Schizosaccharomyces pombe: one gene and its partners. Changing the gene in region 2 together with the main gene of any one other region gives a genetic interaction. Each region holds a gene or a part of one and is shown on either strand. Other genes may lie near its edges.

What was found.
Region 1: of ess1 (region 2) and tim10, a mutation in one rescues a mutant of the other (synthetic rescue), as found in Schizosaccharomyces pombe (one study listed by BioGRID).
Region 3: of ess1 (region 2) and coq10, a mutation in one rescues a mutant of the other (synthetic rescue), as found in Schizosaccharomyces pombe (one study listed by BioGRID).

What each region holds. Positions count from the first base shown.
Region 1 is NC_003424.3:942,986-950,367, forward strand, and holds tim10 (Tim9-Tim10 complex subunit Tim10), read right to left. Parts: upstream 5,668-7,382; 5' UTR 5,597-5,667; coding exon 5,496-5,596; intron 5,148-5,495; coding exon 4,979-5,147; 3' UTR 4,891-4,978; downstream 1-4,890. Other genes in the region: SPOM_SPAC1687.21 (fructose-2,6-bisphosphatase), read left to right, coding at 1-181; pumilio family RNA-binding protein Puf3, read right to left, coding at 640-707, 756-919, 976-2,942; Ragulator complex subunit Lam3, read left to right, coding at 6,661-6,695, 6,744-7,062; Ino80 complex subunit Ies6, read right to left, coding at 7,313-7,382. UniProt on the Schizosaccharomyces pombe protein: Mitochondrial intermembrane chaperone that participates in the import and insertion of multi-pass transmembrane proteins into the mitochondrial inner membrane.
Region 2 is NC_003423.3:2,965,492-2,972,667, forward strand, and holds ess1 (protein ess1), read right to left. Parts: upstream 3,462-7,176; 5' UTR 3,305-3,461; coding exon 2,831-3,304; 3' UTR 2,772-2,830; downstream 1-2,771. Other genes in the region: iss9 (nuclear export factor), read right to left, coding at 1-135, 204-333, 384-1,031; origin recognition complex subunit Orc6, read left to right, coding at 1,864-2,045, 2,104-2,716; aly2 (arrestin Aly1-like protein), read left to right, coding at 6,705-7,176.
Region 3 is NC_003421.2:876,564-885,235, forward strand, and holds coq10 (ubiquinone-binding protein Coq10), read left to right. Parts: upstream 1-4,602; coding exon 4,603-5,097; 3' UTR 5,098-6,331; downstream 6,332-8,672. Other genes in the region: sorting nexin Snx12, read left to right, coding at 1-1,077; U4/U6 x U5 tri-snRNP complex subunit Dim1, read right to left, coding at 1,376-1,591, 1,645-1,755, 1,839-1,879, 1,961-1,986, 2,037-2,071; gpi10 (pig-B family GPI synthesis protein), read right to left, coding at 3,084-4,604; sorting nexin Atg20, read left to right, coding at 6,829-6,972, 7,031-7,139, 7,259-8,610. UniProt on the Schizosaccharomyces pombe protein: Required for the function of coenzyme Q in the respiratory chain. May serve as a chaperone or may be involved in the transport of Q6 from its site of synthesis to the catalytic sites of the respiratory complexes.

The DNA of each region.
Region 1 (7,382 bases), on a different chromosome or scaffold from region 2:
AACTCATTTTATGGAGGAAAAGGGTTTCACTTTTGACAAATCGAAACTCGAAAGCAAAATCATAACCTTTAATACCAGCATTACTGAGATTGAGGTGACTGAGCATGGGACCGGTCATATTCATACGTTCGGAGATGCCTCTCACCTTGAATCGGAAGAGACTGGCAAATTAATTGCTTAAACCTCTTACTTACTATTTTTGACCTATCAAGCTTTCCTTTGCTCGTTTTAGATAGCTAGTACTAATGTTTTAGTGATAGCTCACGTTTAAATTAAAATTTTCAAATAATTTTGTTTTTTAGTATATGCTTATATAAAATTTTAAATTAATATTTTTTCATTCAAAAGGTAAATTTGGCTTATCTTAAATAATAAGTGCTGCTGTTCGTCTCCATATATAGTGAATATAATCATAAAAATGATAACAATAATAACAATATCATAATGGAATAAAGAGCATCACGTTTAACATTTCGGTTCATTTCGTGCCCCGCTGATGAGATGCGGAAAGTGTCATAAAGTACATGAAAAAACAAACACATTAAAAAAAAAGGTTTATGTACAACTTCTAACGGAAGAGTTTTGTACCACTTTAAGCCGGCGAAGCAAGGCAAAATCCACATTCATCATATTATATGGTTACTTGCATTCCTTGCTGGCCAGCTTGGGAACTGCGGAAATGGATTTTTGACGGAAACGTTCCACCGCTATCATAATAATTAGTAACGAAAAAAAAAATTGAATAAACCACTTACACATTATCAAATGCTTCCCATAGGTAAATTTTTTAAGAACAGATATATGAGGATATATGTAAGAAATAAGAAGATCCCTTTCCTCCTCTGGAGAGGCATCAAGTAATTTTTGAATCACATAGTTCGCATATTTATCCTTCATCATTAACATCAAAATACTACAACTTAACGAAATTAGTTAGATACATTCTTGGAGTTGCAAATAAAAGAGGATACTTACTTTTCAGCCTTCTCAGAGATGATTTTGTTCAAAATTCGACGTCGATCAACGTCGGAAATGTAAGAAATACACCTTTCTACAACATTAGATGCAAACTTATGACAACTTAAAAATAGCAAATGATCTATCATAAGATCAAAAATGTACTTTTTGTCGCTCTCGCTTCCGGTTCTCAATATATGTTGAACAACGTAATTTCCATATTGGTCTTGAGTTAATTTCAAAATGTGAGGTAGCAGTTCTTCTATAATTAATTTACGCTCACTATGACAATGCTCAATGGCACGCTGTATAACTCGACAACCGTATGGATGGGCGGAAAGGACATGAATTTGTGGGCGCAAAGCTCTAAGAATGAACTGTAAGTGTCCAGTATCAATGCATTCGATAGCTTTTTGAATAACATGATTTCCATTCTGGTCACATACACAATCTAGGACGTGACCATCTAATTCCTGAATAAGTTGAACTTGGTGCTCAGGAGAAATATATTCAATAGCTTTTTGAACAACTCGGCAACCATACATTTGCAAAGATAAGGAAAAAACATGACCTTTAATCTGCGACAATAATATTTGTTTCTGCTTCTCGTTACCAAATTCGAAGTACTTTTGCACCACATAATTACCAAAGATATCCATCATTAATTGCAAACAGCTAGTAGACGCAATCTCTTGAAAAACTGCTTCCCTTTCTTCTTCAGTGGCCGTCGCAAGCTTTTGTTGAATAAATCTTGAGCCATGTTGATCGGTACTGAACAAAACTACATTTCCAAGGATATCAGATAACTCGAAATGTCTCTGCTTATTTGCATGAAATAAGTACAGAACTCTGGATTGTTGCAAAAATTCCTGTCCATTTTGATTAATTAACGAAGGGTTAGCTGGAGTGGCTGCCGAAAAATTGGAAGTTGGTAATACACTTATAGGAATAGTCCCAGGAGCAACTACTTCAGAAGGATTGGTTTCGGTTTTTGGAATACCAAAGGCAGATATATCAGGCAAACTTTGTCTAAATGAAGTACCAATAGGAGAAACAGTAGGACGTACAGAGGCTGATCCAAAAAATGACGAATCATTCTTCAAAGTAGGTGAATTACCATTAGCAAATGCAGGAGAAGTTCCATAACTTTGATGAGCCATCAAACTTGAGTCGAATGAGCCATCCCAAGACGGTTTAAAAGATCCTGAGCCACTTGAAATAGAAGATTGGGTAATAGTAGTTAAATCGCCTATTGATGAATGTGAAGCATGTCTTGAAGGTTTACTTGTAGCTGGGATCCAAAAATCAGAATGTGCGCGCGTATGGCGAGGGAAAAACTTATCAGATGTTCTTGCTGTGCTAGCAGAAACTGTACGAGCAGAATCACCACCAATGGGCGTCAATGGGGATTTTAGGGTTTGTGGAAATCGGGCGCCGCACTCAGAGTTCAACTGACCATAAAGTTCTGTCTTCAAAGGACGCAAATCGGAATGTAGGCCAGATAAAGAAGAGCTAGTTGATTCGGAACGCTTACGAAAAGGGACCTCCAGTGAGTTAGGAAACTTCGAGATAACAGAATCTTCTTGCAAATTAACAAGACTTGGCATCGCCTTTATACTTTGTTTACCATTAGGGAAGGGATTACCATGATGATTAGCCGAAGGGGCAGTAGGCGTAGATACCAGTGAATCGGGAGAATCCCCGTCAAGTGAAAGCCAAGTTAAAGACGGGATCGGGTTAGAGTAGGAAACAGGTGACTCTAAGGAAGCTTGTTTGTTTGATCCGTGTGGGAAAGTATAGTTAGAACTGATCATAGAGGAATTGAAGAATGAAGAAGTTGGTGATGTGCCAGACAAAAGACTGGGCCGACGTTGACCATAATTATTCGTATCCAAAGAAGATACAGGTGCTGACGGGAAATTGAATGCAGAATTTCCCGAAATGCTCTCAGATGCGTTTGGATTGGAATTTACAGCAGTAAACATCACAAAATGGAAACACAGTTTTCACAGGTAAGCGAAAGTGTAAAGATTTACAAATGATGTAGCACAAAAAAGGAGTGTAACGAAGTTTTACTGATACTTGGAGCAAACCAAAAAGCACAAAGAAGGATATAACAGTAAAAAAAGAATAGAAATAGAAACAACCCAAATGAAATAAAGTAAATGTCGCTTGTCTCCACTGGTTGATTGTACCGGTCAAAGTAATAAGTTAAACAAAAATACTTGAGGAAAAGTATTTCTACGGCTTTGAATTGAGACCTATTATTGCATAAATAGCGGCAAAAAATTGGATGATTCTTCAAAATCTCGTAAGAGTTTAGCAACGACTGCTTCACTCACTAACGAAGGACACCAAAAGAATTAGTAATGTATATATATATATATATATATATATATATGTTATGAATATTATATATATAAATTAGTTAAATCAAATAAATCAATGTCGGGTAAAGCTCGGGAAAAAAACTTTTGGAAGGGTAAAGCTTATATAAGGGAGATGCAACGAATATGAAATTGTGTTCGAAGTGTTATGAACTTACAAAAAGTAGAAAAAAATCTAGAAGAGGAAGGTAAAAAAAGAAAAAAAAGAATCAATGAATCGATAAAGAATGATTGTTAGAATCAAATTTCCCGTTTTCGAATCGAAGAAGCCCAACAAGTATTAACATGAAATCGTAGTTGAGAATAATGATGATGAAAAAGGATTCGCCAAGACTAGTCAGCGTTCAATTATGGTAATTTTAGTACCTAAAGCTTCTTTTCTTTTTAATGAAACGAGATTTCACAATTTCGAGCGCCTTAGGTGGTATTAAGGAAATTAAAGTATGCTTCTGATATGATGAATCAGTAGTTTTTCAAAGTGCTTTCCGATTAATTGATATCAAACTTAGAAAAAAATGTAAAGAAACCAAAAGGGTAAAAAATAAAATGCAATTCAAACTTGGAGTCGAAGTGGTTCCCGGTAAGTTTGATGAGCTGAGCGCTTCCACTTTATGTCATGACGATCGGTCGAACAAACCATTAAACAAATATACAATGTCGTTAATCTTACAATTTTATTTCTATTTTTTACAAACTTAGAATTACTATTTATGTATTCAACTATAGCAATTGCTGCATATCGACTACCAAACGACTTTCGTTCACTGCGCTCAACGGTACTATATCCGCAGACATATCTCTTGTCTATTGAAATCAGCCGTCAGGCGTATAGCGTGCCTTTACTTTCCGTGAAACACTTAACGCAGGCACGGAACAAGGTGGAACGCAGCTCCGACTAGGTTCGGAAAGAAATCTTCGAAGAACACAAATGCTTGTGAGTAATGCTGCAGTACAGTGTGTACTTTATATCGTTATAGAAGGTAATGCACAAGAGATTTACAATTGCAAAAGTCTCAAGGAGGCGCTGCATGAGGCATCTCTTCCAAGAAGTTCACAAAAACGACAGCTTCCGTGGGGGCTAATAGCGGGACACTATTTCCTAAAACATAAGTTATTTACATCTCCTAGAGTCTAGAAAACGATAGCGTAATGAGTAATTTTCGGCTAAAACAAATGACTGCTAAATCATGGGTTGAATAGTAAAAGGTTTCAGTTTGAGAACGGGTGATTAATAATAATAGCAACAATTACAGATGGGAAAACTTGAGGGCTTGGTGGAACTTTCGTTTGAAATACGATAGAAAGAGTGTCATGAAAGAGTTAATAATTAGTATTGCTTCGTTTGAAAAAGAAGAGAGAAGTTGATCATTCCATAGATTATAGAGTATCGTAAATGGTTTAACACGACATCAAATAAAAAAGAACGAAATTATTTCTGTATGAACCACCATATCACGGATGTGCGCACAGGTTTCATTCCATTATTCAAAATAATACTATAAATTAATTTTATTTATTGTATAATGAGAATCCCAAAAGTCGTAGAGAAATTTTTAAAGCATTCCATCCGTAACATAGGATCGGACATGACCCATTTTATACTACAATGGTAGATGTGTTGATAATCAAAGGGCTCATGGTGTTGGATTTTCTTGACCACGCTTTTGCATGTGCTGTGAAAGACTCTGATTTGCTTCAAAGTATTTCGATACACAACGGTCAATACACACGCTTTCTCCTTTCGTTAAATCGGCTTCATAGTATTTAGGAGATATGCACTTTTTATGACAGGTCATTACAAGTCTAGAAAGGAATGTTAGCGACTTTTGTAGAAAAATTTTTAGAAATTCGTCGGATTGGTCTTTTCATAAGATAAAACAATGTAAATGTATTAAAGAAGTAAACAAATACTTATGTAAAATTGGAATAATATTACGTTGCCAAAAATTAGTCTACCAAAGTACCATAGTTTTTAAAAAAGCTAGGTATGCAGTACAATTGACTTAAACGAGTACAGCACTACTTTCAAGGTATGTACTGAGACTTTGTAACTTTTTGACAACCCTTCGAATACTTAAATTCACGATGAATTTTGAAACGTAAAAATAGACGGCTGTAAATATCAATCCTTAGCTTCTCTATTAAGCATACCTATTAAAGATATCAGACATCATCTCAACCTCTTGCTCAGCCATAGCAATGTTCTGAGGATTAATGGTCTGATTATTCTTTCCGATTCCAAACATAGACATTTTTATAGATTTATGGCGCAAAGATTGCTTTCAATTTGGTTTTTTTATTAAACCGATAGCACTGTTGCGGTGGAATGAGAGTAGGCATATTGTTAAAGCATCTACCTTAAAGTAGCAGTGAGCTTTCAAGTAACATCCTTAGTTTTTAGGCTACGATGTACCATGAGAACTCCACGTTGTCCGCTTAATAATTATCAGTTTGTAGTCATTCTCTATTTCTTTAATTTCTTAAAACTACCTGCTAATTTGTTCATAAAAAATTGGACTGCTTTTTCGTTTCCGTGTGGACTGCCAAATGTTCGTTGACAGGAATGCGGAAGAACGAAGTTTATTGGCATTTGTAACTGACATGGCTCCAGGGGTTTTTTGAACGTGTTTATAATCAAAATTCCGCAATAATGCCTCCTACCTATCCTTGCACTCAACTTTGTTTTGACATTAAATACTAGAAATTCCACAGTCAATACAACTCGTACTTTCAGTGTAAATATCCACAGCTATTTACTACGCAAGTTAGTGCAATTCCATATGAGGATATATGAAAGGACCAAATATCGTTTTGTTAACTTGTTCTATTATATAATCGGCATATCATTGTATGCAGTGGGAATTTATGCACCGGGATCGCCAAATATAATAAATATTCTATTACAGAGGTTTTATGTATATTTTTAACAATTGGGTTTATCTCTAATCACGGGTCGACCAAACGTAACAAAAGGATGCTGGCAGAAATAATATAATATAAGTGATTTTAATGAAACCGTCAAAAACTTTGCTCGTATATATAACGAGGCATAGCATACTCTCTTTATGTAGTTTTAAGGACTTACAGCAGTTCGTAATATCACCCTGTCAGTACCATAACCATATGTGCGCAGTACACGTAACTTGAACAGAGGAGTATTAGACGCAATCTTTGCGATACATCAGAAACCCTCAGCTTACCGCACAGACAGTCGTTTTGTTTTGTTTTGTTTTTTAATTTGTTGGAAGAAGAATTTTGGCCTAATTCAGTAAGAAAAATAGTGCGAGGCATCAAAAGTAAATAAATCGAGTCGAAAATGTCAGTTTCACAGCAATTGTCCGAGTTAGCATCGTAAGTTCTCAGTAAAGTAAATTACAACCATACTAATGAAAAATGAAGAAAGGAAAAAACTGTTTTATACGTTGCTGATCAAAACTTAGAGGAGGTGCTTTGTTTTCCAGAATCTACAGATAGGACAACCTTGGTTCAGCTTACGGATGCTTGTCTACATGCTAATGAATTGGCTAAACATTTAGAATTTGGAAAGCCATTATCTATCACAAACCAGTACTCACGAGGTAGTTGTGTGTTGCAAATAGCTAAAGAAAAAAAGGACGGTTCTGGTATGGTAGTTTCTACGACCATTGCTGCTCATAATGCATTACGCGGAGCTCTTAAATGTAGCAATGCTTTGGATCAAGTTATTTCTCAACTTTAGTTGCTGTATATTTACTCCTACTATCAATGAAGTTCACACCTTATTTATTATGTCGGCTCCTAGTATCTGTCCACGGCGACGTCGACGTCCAAGAATATTTTCATTTTAGACTATAAAAAAATATCTTTATTATTATGTACTGTAGCAAGTATAATATTCGTTCGTAACCCATACCTGGTCTAATGCACTTCAGGAGAAAATGAGCGAGTTCGATAGTAAAGTATAGCGTTCATTTTTAAGTCTATTAATTTTACTTCAGAACAACATCCGATGAGCGAAGTTTAAGATACTCTTGATCAGCTCCAGATGGAAGCTCCCGA
Region 2 (7,176 bases):
TGGGAGCGACTAAATATAGATGGAAAAATTTATAGTAATCGCCAGTAGCCATCGCCGAACGGACTTCTAATGCATGTGTAACAGCAGCGTTTGTTTTGTCTTCTTCTTTTAGATTGGCGAGAAGGCTATTCATTTCTATAAATTGTTAATAATTTGAATTCAAAAGATATATTCTTTTAAGCAGTAAGCCGTAATTAACTTACCAGATCGATTTTTAGTGAAGAGCATATACAGAATACGATATGCTAAAAATTCCTTAGTATTCCCTGGTATACCAAAACTGTAAAGATGAAATAATTGAGTTTGACATTGGTTATACTCGCCAACATCACCCTAGTCGAACGTTAGAAGAAGAAATGATATTTTAAAGTAATTAACCGTACCTTTTCAAGAGCTATACGAGCATGTATTTCGTAAACTAATACAGAAAACTCATTTTGAATCCTTTGCACAGTTAAATCCTGTCTTAAACTTTTAAATTGATCGCATATATATGCATAGTTTTTCTCTTCTTTCCATTTCTTCTTTAAAAGTTCGAGAGTTTGCTTAAGAACTGGAAGGGGTCGAACAGTATCCGGATCAGGAGCCGAAGTTAATCGCAAATACCTTTTCTCTAATTCTGTGGACCGTCCTATAATAGCACCATTCTCCGGGTTGACTTTTAGCTCTTCAGATTTAGCGTTATTTTGAGAACGAGAACCATTTTCAAACCTTCTTCTTCTTTTTTCTTTCTTATCCACTTCATCTTCTTCACTTAAAAGTGAAAATTGATTTCCAGAAACAGGCTTCTCAACCTTTCTTTTTTTATCTTCGATGATTGTATTTTGAGCATTTGTCAGTTTCCTTAGGGATTCTAAATTCATAGAAGACCAATCAACATTCCATATGTTTCCCATTTCGTATTGACGAGAAATTAGCAATTTTACTTCATCCTCTAATTCTGGCTGGCTGTTTTCCTCAGCGTCTTGGATGCATCTACCAATAAATTCTTTCAAAGAGTCCGGCCAAGGGCTATGATGTTCTTTTTTCATATTTAATATTTTTCATTGAGCTATATGATTAATGCTAAAGTTAAGTACTTTTCTCAACTTCCTCAATTGCTAAAGTGGTGAGTACCGAGATTGTATGAGAAGTGCGAGTCCGTCAGCTTAACCCTGTCAGTAACGTTGTAAGTCGATTTCATTATCCAACCTTTCAATCAATAAGGATTAATTTATTACTATTCAGTTGATCGTTCATCATTTTTTCCTTTAAAAATTTAAAAAGTCATCAAATAATTCAACGGTTCCACCTAAACTTGTTTGTTCGCTTAAAATTTATGAAACCAACATGGAAAGTAGTTAATATTAACTCACGCTATTCACGCATATTTTATTCTGTATGCCTCATATAGCCTTGATTAAACTACTAAAAGAGAGTAATATACCGAATTATCAAGCCTAAAACACTACCTCCCAATAAAGCAATCGTAATTCATTATTAAATAAAAAAAAATTTGAAGACTGCTTCGAAAGTTTTGTAGTAATATCTTGAAGAATGTAGGTCTAAATTCTAAGCTTTTGGTGACATTATTTAAGATAACTAGCAACCGGAATGATTAAGCAAGAGTCATATTAAATAAGTACGGAATATAAACACCAAATTCAGTGGTGCATCAAGTAGATAGATTTTATATTTTTGAAACAGCTGGTAGTATTAGCAGCATTAAAAACATCGTTTAAATGTCTCTGTATTAAACACCATATTGACATAAAACAAACTAAGCGTTCACCACTATTATGATATTATGAATGATTACATGATTTCAATAATTAATAATCAAAATTAAATGATAAAAGTTTTATTAAATATATTCATTTTCTCATGGAGCGACAACAGATTATAGAGTCTTTACGCAGAATAATTCCCACTGAAAGTACAGAATATAATGAACGGCTTATTAGTTTAGGAGAGTCATTTTTGGAATGGTCCAAATATAAACATAATCTAAAGGCGACAGAAGAGTTATGCCGTCCTTATATGGCAGCGCACTTAGCTTGTGAACTGTAAGTAACTTCTGATGTTTAATTACTCTACTTGAACTTGTTCTGACTCTTTAAAAAGATTATCCAATGATTTAAATTTGGAAATAAATTTACTAGCGACTCCAATTCCAAAAAAGAAATACTATAAACTTTTCACTTACTTTCAAGAAATCTTATCTCCATTAACTAAATCCTTAGCAGCTAAAGATGATCTGATGGAAACCATTACTTATCTTTGTACCAAACTAGGGGGCTCAACTGCTATACCTTATGTTAAACAATTGGTGAAAGCCGTTGTTACAAACGACATGCGCATCGAACACAAAAGAGGCATCATAATCGCAGCTTATTTACTAGTATCGGCAAAAGCTTTTGGAAAAGACGAACTTCATATAAATCACACCGAGAGAAGAAAGGCACAGAGTGTTTTACAGGATACAAGTTCTGCATTGCAAATTCAGTATTGGATGCATGTCCTCTCAGAAAGTTGGCAGTATAAAGAAATCCCTTTAAATGGTATAGAGGGTTATGAATCTCAAAAGCAACGGATAAAACCTTGGAGTGGGATAGCAAGCATGATTCAAATAGATTACGAAAAACGACTTCAAAATTATCCAATATGGAAGGCCTGCATTGAAGAAAGAATCCAATATTACAAAAGCCAGCTTGAAAAAGATGGTACTGCTTCATGAATACAATTTACTATATTAATTTTTTTTTGTACATTAAACAACATTTATAAACGGGTACACGATATCTTTAGTGATATATACAAATACATGAGTAAAAAAAAGTTAAATTAGACTCTAAGCTTTACTAATAGACCACTCCAAATTTGTAATAGACACTTCTGAAGAGGCATTTTCATCATAGTCATACCAATCATCCTCTAATACTATTTCGTCAAAAAGTGTATTACTTTCAGCACCATTAGCTATCCATTCTCCCTGAGGAATGAATTCGACTAGTTCACATCCTCTGCATTCCAATACGAGAACTTTTTTCGTCTCTTGAGAATCATTGTAAGGAGAGAATGGCCCCTCTATAACGAAAGAGCAAGTTTTGCGACAATTTTTGCACGTCCATATGAGATTAGCCTCGCCCTTGCTGCCAGGTATGCTGTGAGTCTCGCTGCGGGAGATTTCAATGGCATTGTCGTGAATCTCTCGACAACCACTACATTGGACTTTAAAAGCATAATAGAAGGATTCTTCATCCTTGGGAGCTAAATTTTTCACACCAGTCAACTCAGCGTTTAAGTTAAGAGCAAATTTTCCCATATTGCGAAAGAAACTCTAGGAATGCAGCTTAACAAGCCGTTATATGTAATAAATTGAAAGAACAAGAAGATAGTAGAGTATGGGTATGTTGTTCGAAACGAATCTGTATTTTGGAGGATTAGAGTAATTTGCCTTTTGGTGGATTACGATGGTGAATGAATGAATATGCATGAATAGATACACCTATTTTAAGTCCGTAGAATGTGAGGGGCAGAAAAAAACTCAATTAAAGCATACTTTTCAATGAAATTAAAAAATTACAGAAATGCTAAATTTGAAGTAATTGGATACGTTTTTCTCATTGAAATAATATATTGATGAAGAATATAACATAGTCAATTATTAAATGAGACTTGGCAAAATCTAAATATCAGCTAAGATAGCTGTTCATTTGAGTGAATTACTTGGAGTTTGCTTAGTGACGGATACATAGTTAGTCTAATATAAAAACATGCCAAATATCCTCGACAATCATTATTCAGCAAGTAATTTTCGAATACTTGGTATCATTTTTAATGTTAAAAGTCATATTGTACTTTTCGCAATGCCGTAGCACAGATAACCAGCTACACGAATTTATACGGCAAATAGTCAAATTCCAACTATTGTGTTTTGTCCATATTTCATTTAATGCTTTACCGTAGACAAATTTACATGCAACTTTTTTATTTGCTTTCTGATTGATTACAACTTGTGTGAGCATTTCAATGTATACCTTCATCTGCAATTGCCCTTTACACACATTATTTCTTTACCTTTATTAACTTAGCCAGAATTGGGAAGGCCAGTCATTCTAGCCTGCAGCATTTTACGTTGTGTTCACTAGGGATCCCTAAAAGGTTAATGTTTTAGGGTGATTAAAGGTCGACTGGTATGGTATGGTATGGTAAAGTGGTATTTTTTGAAAATTGACACCAATAAAACATCTGCATATTTGTAGAAGCAAGAGTGATTCAGTAAGTGCTTGCGAGGAATAAGAGGTGTGGCGTGTATGTTGAGGAGCTTATTAAGCCAATTTTTTTTTTTCATATCTTTAACGACGAGAATCATTCAAAGAGCCAGAACAAAAAACAGATGACATTATTCAGGCCTGTTTACGACTGACATGACGCTATACGAGAAACAATATTGTCGGAGCGAGGATGATAAAAGTGTTGAAAGTGCGAAAATCGTGAATAATCTATATTTATCGCATGTGTCGGGATTGCAAATGGTACCATTGTACTGCAATTAGACTAGGTAGTCCTGGGCAGTCGCTGAGACAGCATTGGAGTTAGTGTTTACAATAGTTGATTATACATGTTTCATGTTTGAATAGCGAGGTTGGGAAAAAGAGAAAAACATCATAATAGTCAATGATGGTATTTAGTCATGATAGTAGTTTATTACAACAGCAACAGTAATGATCATAAGTAATACCATCATAGTAATATTTGTAGAAATAATGATATAAACAGTCCATACTAAGCAGGGATGATATTAGCTATACTAAGATGCCTATGGCAATCTGGAATTACATAACTACGTACGCTTTCTTTTTACATCTACTGGGACACTGTACATGCTAGAGCAGTGCATTCTGCTATTTTGATTTTTAGTGAGCTCGCGTGCAGCTTGATCGACAAAGGATCGACTAAAAAAATGCGGGATTTACAATACATAAGATTCACCAATAAGCAGAGTTAGAAGCCAAGGCCCGCATATTGGACCACTCACCAGCCCGTTACGCTTCCTCCTTATTCGCCTTTAAAATACTAAGTAAACACAAGTAACATACGTTTCCTCCATGCTCGCTAAATTGGTAGCAATAAAAAAATAGCGAGCACGCTCGGATGAGATAAGAAGACATAGCAAAGCTTAAAACATTAGTAAATAGTACGTGCATTCTTTATGGCAAAACGTTTTAACATTTTCTGATATTAATATTAAACAAGAAGAAAAAGAATAGAGTAAAAGTTAAATGTAGGGTGCAACGTTCCGTAGAAGAGGACTACGTGAAAATGACAGCAAAGTATAGTTTTGTGTATGTCAACAATCGCCGTAACCCCGGGACACCCCCAAAAAAGGTTTTACCTATTGTTTTCTTAATCTATTTACGTACCAGCAGGAACAATGCAATAAACCACACAAAAAATTTTTAACGTACTGGATCAGCAAGGAAAGAAGGGCGATAAGTAAATGAATAATATGATATATTCGAAAATGCTTTTTTTTTGGATTACTAAGTACAGCATTGCTTCTATTTCCATAGCAATCCACTCTTTCGTGTGTTTGTTTACAACTAGTAGTAACTGTTTTCATTACTTTCGTAGAGGCGAATTGCTCTTTAACCTTGCTGACTCATTTGTTTCGGTAATCACAGACGATTGGTAACAAGTATGTCAAAGAGGCCAGCCATTTGATTCCCTTCTGCACCCGGTAGATAATCGAGCAATTGAAGACTTAAGGACTAGTGATTAGACAAAAGTGTCTGCCTCGCCTTCTCCGATTTCGTTACCTTATGAGATTGAAATTTCACCAATTTCACAACCCTGCCTTTGCAACACCTTCTTGAAGGGACTCTACTCTCTCTTCACTTATAAACTAGCAAGTTGGCTTATTACTTTGTGTTGCATTTTTGTTGCATTGGAGTGCTTTACAGCTTCCATCTTGGAACAATTTCTTTTTTATCTTAGATAACGCCAAGTTTCAAAAAGCAGATTCGCCATCTTATTCATATCTATCTGTTGTTTATGCCAATCCTTGCTTTTTTTTCTCTATTTTGAGACTACTATCGAACGATTGACCTTGAGAGCATATCTATATACATATTAACTTATTTCTTGCATTTTTACCTTCTCTTTCGCTTTAGCAGCGATCCATTTTCTAGCGTTCATTCCTACCTTGGTGTCGTGTTTGCACGTTCTTATTTCGAACTACTTAAAAAAATAGTGGCCTTATTTTCAAATCCTTATTAGCTAAAATAGCAAAAAAATTCCCTCCAATCCTAAAGGTAACTGGAAGACAGTACCTATCTATTCGAACCGTGGGCTCTGTTGCAACCCGTGTAGCTCAACTGTTTTTTCGTGTTATTTCAGGTTTGTCTTCTCCCAAAATATACATACATTTCTCATTTTCTAGCTCTTTGCTGCTTGTACTGTACAAGTTTTTTTTCTGTTGACTGCATTTACGGATCTCGGTTTTCCGTTTGTTTATTTATCCGCTTTGAAACCGAGACACAGAAAAAAAAAAGTGTGGCCATTGTTGGAATTACAAGGTCGTAACTTTTTCTTTTTTTCTTTGTAATTCTTTATTCTTTTTTTTCCCAACTTTGTATCACCTTTTGAAAATTTCAAATCTGTATCCGGACTCGTCATATTCAGGTGCACTACCACCTCTCCCTCCTCCCGCCAAACTCCATATGAGGGGCGAATTGAATATTCCAGCGCTTAGTCGCTTTGGGAAATCGATATCGGCTTCTTTACACCACCAAAATGGTTCTTCTCGAGATGATAATGATTCTAATCCTTATGAAAACCGTTCCAGTAATTCGGGCCTCAATCGTAGAAATTCAGTCTTCGGCCTTCCATCCTCCGGCTTGTCTTCTAGATTAAGCAAGCCGTCTCTATCATCTATTAATAATTCAAATAATTCCTCTTCCAATACCGGCGGCAATGTCTTACCAAACCCAGCCCTCACGCCGGTGCGCAACATGAGCAACAAACCTCCTCTTACTTGGAGTCCCTCGTCTGCAAACCTGTTTGGTACGTCAAAAGTCACCTCCATCATTGGAAACAACGTCTCTGATGTTGTTCCTCCTGTAATCAAGAAAGCTCTTGCCTCCTCTCATGGAGGTGGCATGTCGCTTTCCATTGTTCTTCTTGAACCCGTCT
Region 3 (8,672 bases), on a different chromosome or scaffold from region 2:
GCTGAGCTGGTTGCTGACCAAAAGCAATTGAAAAGCCTTACTAAAAACCATCAAGAGATTGAAAAAGCAATTCACCGCAAAGAACGTCAACGAGATCAGTATATGTCGCAAGAAGAAGACAGTAAACTCTTTAATCGCTCTCGGGTGTCTATTGATTCATTTAAAATTAGCAAAGAGGAGAACACCCCAGACTTTGCTGTTTACACCATACGCATTGAACGACTTGAAAATGGACATGTCCGTTCCGGATGGATGGTGGCTAGACGGTATCGAGAGTTTGCAGAGTTGCATAAGCAGCTAAAGCAAACATACCCTGGAGTCAGATCTTTAAAATTTCCTCAAAAATCGATCATCACCTCTTTAAACAAAAATGTTTTGGAATATCGAAGGGGTGCTTTAGAAGAATATCTTCAATCATTATTCAGAATGCCAGAGGTTTGTGACAGCAAAATGTTGAGGATGTTTTTGTCACAACAAAATATCACAGCACCACAAATGTTTAATCCTAAAGAAGTTGGCAAAAAATGGAAGCAGCTTTTAGAAGTCTTAGGGTTTGAAGTTAATAATTCTTTCAACGCATCCAACGTTAACACTAACTCGTCATTCTCAGGTCCCATCTCGGAATTTTTAGTCGAATTGTTTTCTCCAAATGACGATGCAAAGCAGCAATGGTTACCGAAAAAAACTTATATATCGATATTGGAACAACTTTTTGGCGGAGCTTTGGAAAAGCGTATACGACTACAACTGTTTCAGTTGTTTACGCCTGAGAAGATTTATAGGAAGTTACGCGAGTTTAGACGAGGACTTGAAGGTAAATCTAATCATGATCACTCCAAAGACCGCCGTCATTCACGGGCGCGAAAGCCAGCTTATGCTGATAGGAATCAATTGAAAGCAGAAGCAGGGATTTTGCTTGCTTCCATGTTTCCCGGCTATACACCTGATATTGCTGTGAAAAGAATATTTCGTATTCTCCAAAACCAATCTCTAAACGCTCATGTTATATACACCCTTCTTGACGAGATTTTGCTGGCTTTAAAGAAACACGCTAGATCAACTAATAAGGCAACTTGAGTGTCACTTTTTTACCTCTCTTGTTAAATCATAGCAAGAGTAATCATGTTCATGCTTTTCTTTAATCATATAATGTAATTTCTTCATAGGATTTGATAATACTTTATTACAATTCATCCACTAGATAATTTCAAATCCTGTATTGTTACTGACTTTAAAAGAAGGGTTATACCATTTGAAGTACAAATTATGCGTAAAAATTAAAGCAAAAAGACTTTTTCATTTTAGCCAAAAACTATCAAATTACTATGATTTTTCTATCCCCTCTCCATTTTCTTGCATAAGCAAATGGTGGCTTCTAGTAGCGATGTCGGGTAGAGTAATCTTTTGGAGAAATAACAAGACCTTTACCTTTTCTAGCACCACGAAAAATAGTTTCTATAATATCGATCATCTCTTGTTTATCTTCTAACGGCCAGTTGATTTTGTTATTGTTACCAGTACCTAAGTCAATCATCATGTGTTTGTTTCGATAAAAAAACATTATTGTAGTTCTGTCATAAAGCTCGTACATCTAGATGGTAATAAGGTTAGCAACATGACTTTCCAACTAAGACTTAGACTTACCTTGTTGAAGTCAGGAACTTCGTCAATGTCCACTAAATATATGACAGCCATGTTGACGACCTTTTCAGCAATTCTGTATAGGACTTCATCTTGTTTTATACATTCTTCATCCTATTCCGTTACGCGTTAGTAAATTAATCCGCCTACAATATTAAATAGACTTAATCCAAGTAGATATCGACATTAGAACATACATGATCTCTACCAAATCGAATGACAACCAAGCGCTCTTGTTCTATTTATAAAAAAAAAGGTTAATAAGCTGATTCGAAGTTGTGAAACGAGAAACATTCTACGTTTCTTAAAGTTCGCGTACCTGATAAAATTGCTTGATCAACGTGCCTATAAACATAAGTTAGAGAAGAATAAATCCATCTATCACAAAAACTTACCATCCAGAATGTAAATGAGGTAAAAAATAACTCATTATATCAACTGAAGCTGCTGAATTGCAATATTTTGGTAATTTCTAGCAGACGAGAATAGTGTAGATATGTAAGTCACACAATATACACTTTGCGCGTTAGGATGTAGCAATGCTTTAACTCTACGTAAAAAAGCGTATAATAGTGTAAATGCTATTCAGTAAATAAATTTAGTGAAGTTATGAGATTCTTGACACAAGTGGGATTGCTATTACTTTCGTACATTACATGCTTAGTTGAATCGTTGATGTGTTTACTACAATTATATATATTCATACTTCATCTAATAAAACAATGAAATTCAGAATTTTTTACAATTCTAGAAACCGACCGTTTAAGCAGTTTACTGTGTTTAAAAATTAAAGTATCCGTAATATTCCAAATATTTTGTGAAATACTATTATAAAAAATTTAATTTAGAATCGTAGCTAGGCCGTATAAAATTATTTTTTCAAGTCCCAATCGCAACATAGACGAATGACCTTTGCGTTTTTCTCGACTCCATAGCATAAAATTACAATTGCAAATTCTTTAAGTGACTTGGGTGTTCGCGTTGTAAGCTAACTTTTCTTTTTCAGATTTGTTTGGAGAGTGCAGGATATGCTATAAATTTGTATTTAAGAAAATTTCTGAAAGGTTAAAGTCGCCAAAGGTTGAAAATTTTAAAATGATGTTGATTCATGATAATGGCTTCGGGGAAGATAAGTGTTCCACCCATGTCTTAAGTTTTAATAGTAAATGGCTTAGGATTACTTTATTCGTCTACAAATTGTTGCTTCCTCTTGCTCTGTGAAGACTTGATATGGCCCCCTCTATAATCCACGAACCATAATAGAAATGCAAATCGTTTATAATGGGGAGCTAGAAATCAAGCTGGCGTTTTAGGGATAAACCAAATATTGTCCAAAGCAAGTAATAGTCATCAGTGGTTTCATTTAAAATACATCAATAGTTGTTAAAATGCAGATAATTATGCTGACCTGTGAAATTTTTGGGGTATGAAGAATCATGTAATTAGAGTTTCTTATACACTAACAGAGCTCCAGCTCTCTCTCGACTTTCAGGAATCAAGGAGTTATAATACCTCTGTACTTCTTCATACTTCAACCCTCGGGAGTCAAGATAGCTGTATAAGCTATAAAACCGCTCTTCAAAGAAAATCAGATAATCCGGCCATTCTTTAATTTTATCTAGAAAAGTAGGCATATTCTCGTAAAAACGATCCGTCTCATCAAAGGGCTTTTCGAACGGTTCACATGTCAAGAACTTCCATCCATTTTCAGCAAAAGGTGAATGGATATGCGACTGCCATGGTGTAGTGTGACACGGAGCAAGTATTAGACCAGTTTGGTTTTTTTCAGCAAGTGAATGTATTAATGGCATAACTTCCATGACTCCAAATTGATGAAATCGGCATAAAAATGTAATTACCAGAGCATGTCCCAATCCAATAAGGAAGAAAAACCGTGCTGCACGCTTCCAAGAGGAAAATGATGAAAAAAATTTTCCAGCTAAAGTAAGTAAAATCGGTGAAATTGGGTATACAAACCGAAGTTCTTTATGTCCTATCAGTGAATAGGGAAAGAAAACACAAAGAATGGTTCCCGCTGTTTGAAGGTCCATTGTGAGTAATACGAATGGAAGAAATCCTCCGCATATTAATGGGAGGGCTTGAGAAAGGTAATAGTGCCATGCGTTCAATCCATACAAAGAGGAAAGGCCTGAAGTAACATTAAATTGAAAGAACGAAATGATGGGAAAGACAAAACGACCGTAAAGTATTCTATCAGCAATAATATTAACTAAAAATAAAGACACACACAAAACGAATATGCCAAAAAGCCGCCCATAACCGAGAGCATATAAAAAACGAAAGCGATTAAAAACATTGGAAAACGAGAGTAAATCCTTTATGGGTGTTTGAGGATTTTTGTTCCAGAATAAAAGTGGGAATATCCAGACTAGTATATTTGTAGGTCGGATGAAACAAGCAAAGGCTGCGACTGAAATGAAGCCCAAAAGTGAAGAGTACGCTTTCTTACGTTGCTCAGGAGAAGAGTTTTCATATTTTAGGTAGTAAGAGAAATAGTAAAATCCTATGGAAGTCAATGTTGTCTCCAATGAATTGGAAAAGGTTCGGACACCAACGTACGCATTCATTATGGAGACAAGAGAGCAAGCCAACGTCCAATTCGCGGTTTTAGAACCATATCTTACTAGTGCAAATTTATAAGTTCCATAATCTAGTATAGCAGCAAACGTTCCTTGCAGGAGTTTTGGAGCGTTCGTGAAAACGAAGTAAGATGAGTCTAACTTGAGTACTTGCAAAACACGATATAGCGCTGCAAATATAAGCGGATGTAGAGCTGAACGGATTGCTGAGGTCCATTCCCACGTTAAGAATCCATAGCGGAATATGAAGTGATGGGCCACCTCTAACGATTGGTAAAATTCATCAGGTTGAAAGAACGTTTTTACCCACAACGCATTCCACCATCGGAAAACAAGAATCGCTAACCAAAACCAAATTCTCATGGCTTTTCGATGTACGTTACGACGGTTGGAATGCTACCGCGCTTCTAGACTTATGCCTTACAAGCCTTCGTTCTTGTTCAGTTTAATAAGCAATGTCAACGAATACGAACGGTTTGTGCCTTTCTGTCAAAAGTCCAAAGTCACTGAATACGATCCTAAAACTGGATATCCTACAAAGGCCGACCTTACAGTTGGTTTTAAAGGATTGTGTGAAACTTTTGATAGTAAGGTGGTTTGTGATCCTGTTGCCCTAACCGTGTTGGCAGACGCGTCCCATCATCGTCTGTTCCGGCGGCTTAAAACACATTGGAGTATTGAAGAGGCATCTCGGGGACGTGTTCGTGTTGATTTAGAGGTGGATTTTGAATTTGCAAGCAAACTCCATGGCATGATGAGCAAGTTTGTTGGATCTTCTGTAGCTTCTGAAATCATTCAAGGATTCGTCCAACAGGCTAAAATAAAGCATAAGCTAGAATCAGAAAATGAGAAATAATTACAATGATCCTGCATACAAAGGGGCTATGCCGCTATTCTTTCCATCTCAGCGTTTTTCCATCGTCTCTCTTTCAACCAAAGAAGGATATATTTTTATAAAAGGTTTCTTTTAGGAAATCATGGCTTCAGTAAGCTAAATTTTGGATCCTTCTCTTCACCTTATGTATTTATTTTATTTCATTTTTTTGGATACTCGCCAATATCATGGTATAGTTTGCTTTACTGCAATTTTTTTGATGCACAACAAAAAACTTGGTAAATTATTTCTCTACTATTAAATCAAGAGCTTAGGAGGAATTCTCATTTCTTAAAGAAACTTTACTTTGACGAAACTGTATTTTTTTTTTTGTTTTAACAATATGTCTTGAATATGCCTTCCTTTTCTTGAGTCACTGATAACCAAATATATATAATTATAGGGGTGTCTCTCTTTCTATTTAGTGCTGAAATATTGCGGATGAGCTTTGCCTCTAAAGTTGATAACCAGAGATCAGGAGTCCTTGAAGGTCAACTGTTTACAAAATTATCCTTCCTTGCTTTTGAATAGAAGGTGAAATTGGTTATGGAATGCTTCATGAAGATTTGCATTCAAAATGCATCCAGAACAATCACAAGTGTTATTTAAAAGTAAAGAATCCCTGAAGGAAAGAAAAAGTGATCTATGATGATCGTTGTTAAAAAGTCTATCAAATTTGGTCTACTGAGATATATCTAGGGAAAGCAAAATCATTTAAGTAAGACAATTCATGAAATACCCGGAGCACCTTTATAGTCGACTTTTCTTTCGATGATAAACATGACATGATTTCCATTATAGCTACAGAAACGAATTTTATGAAAAACAATCTTGTGTTTACCAACATTTTAATATCGTGCTCTATTAAACTGTGCAATATGCAAATACGGTGTTTGCCGATTTGCATTAACGGGAAGTATTTCTCCAGTAAATAAATGAAGCAAAGTGTTTTTATGTAAAATCCTTTTATCGCTTTTAACTTATAAGGATTTACTTAGTATATAAAGTTGCTGAATGGAGCCTTAAAAGTTCTAGCTGTTTTTTCGTGAAATAAACTATAGCATCACCATTCCATAGGTCCATTAGAAGTTGTGGAAATTATCCATGAGCATTTTTATATAGTGAAATTAGAATAATTTTTATCATTGAAAATAAATTATTAATTTAGTTCATTTCGAGGATGAAAACAAGTTTTATTATAATATACCTCTTATTTATACCGCATTGTTTACATCGCACGATATAACCAAACGAATCCAGTTAACGATAGCTACAACAGCCATCGGTATTAAACTATAGTGATTTGATAAGATGTTTCGAAATATATACTGGATAATATAATCACTGTCCGCTATCATAACCTTAAAAAGAAATCTCCTCTACAACTGCATTACTTGTTTACTGTGATAGTACTAAGAAATTCTCCACGTAAACCAAAATCTATTTTTTTTTCGAAATCTCGTATTTTATATACATAGGTTTCCCCTGTCATTTTAAAGTTCTGATTGTTTCTTTGACCTTATGGAAACCCATTTTACAATGCATTCAGTATAACGCTATCTAATCCATTCTCATATACAGTATAACGTAGTTATAAGTATATTGATTTGCGATCTCTATCATATTACAACGAAATACAATCCAGTCTGCAAAGCCATGACTTATATGACGAACTAGCTACATTTCTTTCTCCATTAAATCGATTAAAGAAGTATGGCACAAGACGATTCTTACGAAGAGAAACCTGAAGTTATATCCAGCGACTCGGGAGGAAGTGGTTATTCAACTGAAATCCAGATCGTCGGTACAGTAACTTCCTCGGACGGTTCGTATGTTGAGTATGAAATTGTACACCAGGTATGTGGCTTGAGATCCTTGGTATCTATGAGTTTAGCTGCTAATTTTTATACTGTAGAAGCGTTCCGTTTGGCGGAGATATTCGGATTTTGAGTCCTTGGTTAAGTTGATGCGTCGGCAGTATCCCGCTGCAATTGTTCCTCCTATACCGGGAAAACAATCACTTTGTAAGTTTTCCAATATATTTAGATATAATATCTTTCATCGCGTTTTTTCATTTTCTTTTCAAACGTTTATTAACATGGGCTGTGTGCAATTCATTGTACACACATGCTCCGCTGTTTAGTAAGTTATGCCAAACATCCACGAAAAGCTAAAAGTGATGCTGAATTCTTAAATTTTCGCTCCAGGATGCTAGAATTGTTTCTTCGTCAGTGTCTTTTGCATCCATGCATTCGTTCCAATCCTATTTTCGATAAGTTTATTCATAGCACTGTTTCTTGGCACGTGACTTTATCATCTTTAGATTTACCAAAGGATTCAAATACTGATCCACTCCGCCTTCCTCCTATTGCTACTGAGCATGACCCATTCGCTCATTTGCGCTCTTCCATGCCACTTGTAATGGCCAACTCATTAAGTCCCCCTTCGTCTCGCGCATTAAAGCCAATCCATTCCTTATCTAATCCTTCAACTGCTTCGAGTTTAGAACCTTCTTCTCCTTTGGGCTCTGAGGATGAATGTCATCCCCCAACAAGCGATATGCAACCTACGCATGAATTGAATGAAAGTCCTTCTACCCCAACGGCACCAGACTTTCCACATTACAATAGCTCACCTTCGGAGTTATCTCCCACACAGCGTCGTTCCAGCATTTCTAATGGTAAAGACGCACCCTCTCCAGTACTCAAAGATTTGACTTCCTATACTCAAGAAGTGATTGTTTGTCGGAAATTCCTTCATCATAGTCTGAGTCCTTCCATACATTCAACTTTATCTAGTATTTCTAAAATGGAGTCTTGCCTTTCAAAGTTAGGATCGGCATTTCACTCTTTGACTGCTCTCAATGAAATACAATTAGCAAATCATTTGCAAGTGATTGCTAATGCCTTTGAATTCAGCGGAATGTACGCCAAGGAATTCGAACAAGAATTTAATTCCTCCGTCTATGAAAAAATGGTTCAGTCTATGCAGCTGGCGAAGTGTGCCGCAGATGCTCTTAAGTATAAGCAATTGAAGATACAACAGCGAGATTTTCTTCAAGACCAGCTCATCCACTCTAACACAATGTCTGCTACCGACTCTATGGTAGCTGCTTCACCCACGATACACCCGGCGACCAGATTGAATACTATTCAACGAGCAGTTGTCTCCCAAGCCAAAAAGGGTTACACAATTTTTGGTCGCTTACAAAACGTTTTACATGACTTTGTAGAAGGTGAAACCTCCATTAGCAAAGAAAGTCTCCAGCAGCATAAGAATACCATAGAGAATCAACTAGCGGCTGCAAATTGGGATTGTCAAAAAATTGACGAATTCATGGATGCAGAGCTTAAATTCTACAAAGAATGTCAGACGTCGCAGTGGGAAGAAATAATTAAATCTGTTCATGAATGTATCTACAAATGGGCACAAACAAATTTACAACGATGGTTGCGAACTCGTGAAGAACTCGAAAATTTATCGAAGGACATATAAGTACGTTGGGTAGGTTTGCTTATAATTGCATTCCGAGTCTTACATACTTTGTATTTTATTTT